2 linked regions of the Bombyx mori genome follow. The protein of the gene in region 1 interacts with the protein of each later gene in a pairwise test. Links are inferred from orthologs where the notes say so. Each region holds a gene or a part of one and is shown in the gene's direction. Other genes may lie near its edges. The genes, in order: axin and glycogen synthase kinase-3 beta.

Region 1 (3,600 bases):
GATTGTTGACTAAATATTTTATAATTTTGAGTTAATTAATTCACGCTTTTTTTCAAGTTTCTCTTAGTTATCAATTCATAAGTTCATATATCAATAAATTTGGCACAATATATTTCGGATTTTTTTTTTTATGGTTTTACACTTTTGGATACTCAAAAATTTGTTCGCCGTAGAAAACCGTGTTCACAATTTTCTAATTATCCAAATTTTAAATTATAAGATGATTCGCATTTTCAATTTTTCGTGCATAATTCAAACATTCAATTCAAACATAGAGGCATCTGACATATTTCCTCTGAAACTTGAATATTTTTACAAAGTCGATTCACAGTTTGTAATAAAAGTGTTGATGTAGTTAAAAATACTACAGAGTCAAAATCGTAATTTATAAGGGTTTTATTAATTTATAAAACATTACAATATTATTGCTTCGCTATGTATAAGTTCCTTATAAATAAGAAATACCTCACAATTTCTCTACAATTTGTTTGTAAACTTTTAGTTGATTTAAATAGCGTTATAAGTATGAAGTCATTTGTTTTAGTCATTTTTGTGTAGTTTTTAGATTAGCGTGTTTGATTTCGTGTTTTTGTACCTGCATATGTGGAAATAAATTTAATATGAATAAATCTTTAATTTTAAATCGAGTTTTACTGTCTATTCCTTTAAAATTTATCTTGATATTAATAAAAAGTAAGTTCGCCTTGGTATGTCGCAAATTGTGTTTTTCGATTGTCTAAATAATAATAGTACATAATTAAACTGTATTTCAATTAAAACTCACTTTAGGAGTATTCAAATAAAAGGGGAATGACACTGGTGAAATAATTAATTGTCCGAAATGTAAGTCTGGAAAGATCGAATCATACTGAATAAATCCGATGTCGTTTGCAAGGTGATGTTATATCCAAATATGGTTGTATTACATGAAAAACGATTTGAGACGGAATGAGTCTAATCAATTGGGATAGTGTTACATAATGGTTCAGTGGAACTTTTGGAAGAACCCGAGGAGCTACCTCCAGAAGCTTTGTTTCATTTTCTCGTATTGGTGCGATTTCGCAGATGCTAAATAGTTAATAAACCAACGTTATTAAACTTGGAGAAATTCTAAATCAGTTTGAAAAAAATAAAACGACTTACACAATGATTTTTGACTTACAGAACTTCGCTTTTCGCGTTCCCGCCAAATTTTTGTTTAGCAGTTCAGGGCGCAAGAGGGCGTCTTTGATTTAGTGTTTTTTTTTTAAATAAGCTTATTAGTATTAGTATATTATAGTATACTCTACCGATATACAAATACATTAAATATAATATAATTGACAAAAATCCAAAATATTTTTTATTTCACAATATTGGTAGGTATGTTGATAATTATGTTATTATGCGTGTGACGGAATGACACATCAAAGCGTTCATTAGTTGACCAATGTCCCGCTAGGTTACGCTATTGTGCATCAACACCATGGCGAAGGCGACGTCAAGAACGTGAATAAGTTTCTGTTTTCTATACGAAAGTGTTGTTTTTTGTCAGTTTATAAGTTGAAAGACTTACAATAAAGCTGTTCTCGGTGTCGTTTTGTTATTAAGTGCTTGAACTATTATTTCAAAATTAAAAGTTTTGTGTGTGAAGTTGTAACGAACTCTCGGAATACTTCGGAATTCAGGTGTCAACGAGGTAAGAAATTGATGCTTATTTCAAGAATACGCCTTCTAAAATTAACACTCACGATGCTGGTGTACATTTTAGTTATCTTAAACCCCGTAATTAGCCCGAAATAATAAAAACGTTACATTAACAACAATGAGCAGGTAATAGTTATAAATAATTTGCGTTAAGGTTAGGTTTGTGTCGTCTACCGCTGTGTTGAACGTTTATACAACCAGTTATGTTACGGGCTAGATATTCAATATATATTTAAAAAAAAACTTCACCTTTTTTGTACTTTCAAAAAGTTTGTGAACTATTTAAAACTTTTGAGTCACCTACTCACCTAGTGACCTAATATTGTTTTGAGTAGGTACGGATCGGTAAAATTAAAAATTAAATCATGAATTACGAAGTTCTTTCAATTACTTTTACAGAGATAACTGTTGAGTGATATTGAGAGAATCTATAAATCGAAAGTTTATTTGTTTACACTAATTTGTAAGTAGGTAATTAATGCTACAATTGATAATATGCCTGATAGATAGCAATAAAATTCAAAATATATAAATAAATCACCACTGGTTTTTCATTCTCAAAATAATTATATAATGAAGCAAAAAATTATATATATGACTTTTACTGTAAAGCTATGGAATAAATTTTCAATTACTTAAAGATACCTGAATTGTCACGAAAAACATTTTTAGTTAATTAGTATGTGGTCTAGTAGTAGTAGCCAGTAATTTAAACTAGAATATTCTTATGAACATGTGTTAAAACTATTTCTACAGCCAGTACTTTTTTGTATGGCTTGAAAAACAATAGGCATTCACCATTATTTTATTCATTTTTAACATTCCCCGAAGAAAAGTCTGATATGTGTACAAACCTAAGTGAAGTATAATTATTGACATATTGCTCCCAGTGACTTCATAACCGATGATAGATGGAATAATTATGTATAAAAATATGATGATGAGATGACATAATGTAATGATATAAACGTATACAAGTTTATGAAAAAAAAAACAAATAAAAACCTTTTTTAGAATAATGCAAACTTGCTTAAAAATGTTTTTTTTAGTAGGAACTCCAGCTGGGGCCTAAGCCGGTGGATTGTCTCATCATTAATATTTCATAGTAAAAAGATATTAAGAAAATTGTATATGCAGTGTCTCAGCATTAAAAAGCTGGAATCATAATAATTTATTCAAAATGAAATTGGGTAAATAAAATATCTTAGACAATCAGAATATATTATATCGTCACTTAATTTATATGAAAATAAAATCTAATTTGAGGAAATAATTAACACGAAACTTATTACCTTTGCAATCTTGTAAACTGTGTATAGAATTTCATAACATGCCGTCACCAACATTAAAATTACAAATAAGAAAACGCAAATATATTATTAATACAGTACATAATACATGATACAATGTCAAAAAAGAAAAAAAAAAAGCAGATGTGTCATCAATCCCTCTCTTCTTTTTGTAAAAAAACGAGGTTTGCAACAATCAATTCCCTTTGTGAGCGACATCAATGAGAGCGGTTACTGTGTACCTATCCTTTGATCTCGCCGCCCTCTGAAGATGCGACAGTGCGCTAATACCGGCGTCGCGGCGCTAAACGACGTAACCGCCTTTTTGAAGTTTCATGGACTAAAAATGTATCGATTCTACGCTGTTTTTGTACACGGACACAGGAAGCTCTCTTATAATTAATATTTGGACTAATATTTCTACATTTATAATTTTGTATCGAAATTAGATTATTTTAGATGTTGTGATTTCTAAGTCATAATCTTAACTGTCTACAAGATTCTATGAAAAAAATAATTAATATAAAATGTGCATAGGCCTTGTATGATTTTCATTTATTAAGTTAAGTCGTTTAAAGCAGACTAGTGAAATAAATTTATAGTGTAAAAATCTCAAAAAATGCAA
Region 2 (3,733 bases), on another chromosome or scaffold:
CAGAACCTATTGCTTGACCCCAAGACTGGAGTGTTGAAGCTGTGCGACTTTGGCTCGGCGAAGCACCTCGTTCGCGGAGAACCAAACGTTTCCTACATATGTTCGCGTTATTACCGCGCTCCGGAGCTCATCTTTGGCGCCACCGACTACACCACGAAAATTGGTACGTTTCTTATATCTATTATATAACTAATTGGACCTACGAAGTCGTCGTGGCCTAAAAGATAAGACGTCCGGTGCATACGTGTTGAACGATGCACCGGTGTTCGAATCTCAGGCGGCTACCAATTTTTCTAATGAAATAGTGTACTCAACAAATGTTCACGATTGACTTCCACGGTGAAGGAATAACACCGTGTAATAAAAATCAAACCTGCAAAATTATAATTTGCGTAATTACGGGTGGTAGGACCTCTTGTGAGTCCGCACGGGTAGGTACCACCACCCTGCCTATTTCTGCTGTGAAGCAGTAATGCGTTTCAGTTTGAAGGGTGGGGCAGCTGTTGTAACTATACTTGAGACCTTAGAACTTGTATCTCAAAGTGGGTGGCGCATTTACGTTGTGGATGTCTATGGGCTCCAGTAACTACATAAAACCAGGTAGGCTGTGAGCTCGTCCACCCATCTAAGAAAAAAATAAAATAAAAAAGAGATCTCTACCTCGTATCTTAACACGGGTGGGAGCATTCATGTTTGTGATGGCGATGGATTGGTAATCGGATAAAACTAATCTGTTCATTTGTCCAAATAAAAAGTTAATATTTCAGTTGGAACAGATCTTATACACGCCGTTTTGGAAATTTTGTTGTTAATGCCTGACTGTAATGCAAAACCTCACAAAGAATATTAATTATATTTATATTCGCATTGCTATATTGCAATGGTTTTAATGTTTATAATTATGTGTTTCCGTTTCCTAGACGTGTGGAGCGCGGGATGCGTTGTCGCTGAGCTGTTGTTGGGTCAACCGATATTCCCAGGAGATTCCGGGGTTGACCAATTGGTTGAAATTATCAAGGTAATACAAGTGCAGTCCACAGTCATAATATCCAAATTGTTAAGCTCGATTCCTGTATTAGTATATTTTTTATTGTTTTAATTGATAATAAATTAAATTCTTTTTTAACAGGTTTTAGGGACACCGACAAGAGAACAAATCCGAGAGATGAATCCAAATTATACAGAATTTAAGTTTCCGCAAATCAAGAGTCACCCTTGGGCGAAGGTAATAACATACTCAAAATAATTATTAGAATATTATTAAGGTAAATACATCAATAAACTTAACAGTGGGATCACTTCGAGAGTATCAAACTAAAACAAAAATATTTTCAAAATCTGTCCATAGACAACAGAGTAAACCGTTAAGAGATAAATTTAAAAATCTATCAAATATAGAGATACCTTTTTTGAATTTTGTTAAATTATCTAAGACCTTTGTTATGAAAAGAGTCAGTTTTTATGAAATCGTAATTTGTTCTTCTTTGAAAATCCATACATAAAACATGAATTTCATCCTGGATACATTTATGATAAGCACATACATTGACTAGTCCTTAGTGTCGCCTTCATAAATATCCGTTATATCATGAATTTTGTTATCATAATCATAATTGTTAGGCTATCGTTATTGTATATTACATACACGATACATTACTACGGATTTAAAGAAAACTTTTCATTGAAACTTCGTGTTTTCATTAGGGAACGTATGCGACAGCCATATCTGATAATCGCACGGCATTTTCTATGCGTCGAGGACGTATCTCGCTGTATTCTGTGGCCTTAAAAAATTACAAGCAGAATATTTTCAGCACGTAGACATTACAACGCGAATGTTACATGAAGGAGACATGACGAATTATTACCGTACTAGAAAACTGTTATTATATCCTTGAAACACACTTAAGAAGTAGAGGAGAGTTAATTAGGAAGTTAAGGCGAAGATTCTACCACTACACATAGATGATGAGGAAACTGTTAGTGTCCAGTTAGGTGGTTAGAGCTATGTATCCGATTTTTTTCTCGAACATACGATCCTTCTACCGCGAACTTGTAGTTCTGATGCGGAATTTACATTACGAAATTAGTGTCATGGATGTTGAACTCAGTTTCACGAAAGTAGTTTCGATATAATATATGCGAAAGTAATTTCGTAAAAAAAATTGTGTCGCGAAATCCGCAGTATCGCAGTAATGGTTACCTCGCAATGGCGCCATCAGCATCATAGCTATATTTTGCTATATTAAATGTAGCTAAAGAAATGCTTATATATAAACTTAAAAAAAGACAATCAAGAAAAAAAGACATTGGTAAATTTGAGAACGGTTAACAATAAGGCATTTATTACGAAATGCATGCATGCATTACGAAAATGTTAAGCTACACGTGAAACTGTTGGTAAAACTAATGTCACGAAATTAATTTCATGCCACTAATTTCGTAACGTAAATTCGCCCTGAGTCCAGTTTTACGTCTCTGGACGAATTCTGAGTTACAAGTGTACGGAATATAAGTGCTAGGAATGTCTCTGTCCCCTCGTCTCTCATCTTGCTCGAGTGAGCTTAGACTTTATTGGGGTATATGCAAGCGGTGCTGCTATGGGCAGTCGATTAAACAGACGCGCATCGTTGCAGTGTATGCTGGAGCGTATGTCCATGCCCAAGACTGCCACTGACCACCAGCGCATCCGAGTAAGAATCCGCTATTTGGTTCAACTAGATGCCTTCATTTACATCACGTTAAACTTTAAATAAGCTTGCAAGCTGAAAGTATTGTAAAGCAAGACAATATATGAAGGCATTTAGCGCATCCAAAGACGAATACCAAATCGCCTTTGACTTGAAAGTCGCATACAACTAATTCGGTTGATTCTGACAATTTCTCAAAATGATTGTTTGTTGGTGTTCAGTGTGCATTCGTCATTGTGTCGCACACGTGTTTAGTTTGTTCAAGTATAAAAATTTTGGAATGTGGGACGACGCATTACAAACCTCTACGGTAATGTTATTTTCATGTTTTATCAAAAGAGCAAACTTGACACGTGGTTCAGCACAAAATAACAAAAATAAATAACTTCATCATCCACGCATTATAATCGCATTAACTAATTAATTTTGAAAGATACAGTTTGTTAAATTATATCGTCACTAATCGAACCCATCGAGCTCACCACAGTCGAAGTGTTAATTGTACTCACATCTCAACGATACATAAAAAACATCCAGATATACCCTTGAATCGATGAATTAATATACCAGTTAGATTAGCAAGAAGCTTCGATTTGATTCTTCTCTCTCGGTTCTCAATAAGAGAAAAGGAAGAAGATGTTCAGACAAAACATACCTTCAGAAATCTATTGAGTCCATATTAACATCTATTTGTGACGGTGTGAGTCGAGGTGACCACACCGCTAACAAATCGACTCTCCTAATTAAATAGCCTGTATACATTTTGGTACCTATCTTCAGAAATCTATTTGTGACGGTGTGAGTCAAGTGACCACACCGCTAACAAATCGACTCTCCCGATTAAATACCCTGTATACTTTTTGGTACAAATATATCATAAAATACGAAAGATGCCCGTGAACCGCCAGGTGTTCCGCGCGTGCACGCCCCCGGACGCCATCTCGCTGGTGTCGCGGCTGCTGGAGTACACGCCGGGCGCGCGCCTGTCGCCGCTGCAGGCCTGCGTGCACAGCTTCTTCGACGAGCTGCGCGAGCCCACCGCC

Evidence for each region.
Region 2: the proteins of axin (region 1) and glycogen synthase kinase-3 beta interact in a two-hybrid assay, tested with the Drosophila melanogaster proteins (2 studies listed by BioGRID, with this or other methods). The link is inferred for Bombyx mori from reciprocal best matches to the Drosophila melanogaster genes Axn and sgg.

The regions. Positions count from the first base shown.
Region 1 is NC_085123.1:13,487,561-13,491,160, forward strand, and holds the start of axin, read left to right. Parts: upstream 1-1,411; 5' UTR 1,412-1,678; intron 1,679-3,600.
Region 2 is NC_085124.1:8,496,664-8,500,396, reverse strand, and holds part of glycogen synthase kinase-3 beta, read left to right. Parts: coding exon 1-163; intron 164-920; coding exon 921-1,018; intron 1,019-1,129; coding exon 1,130-1,225; intron 1,226-3,580; coding exon 3,581-3,733.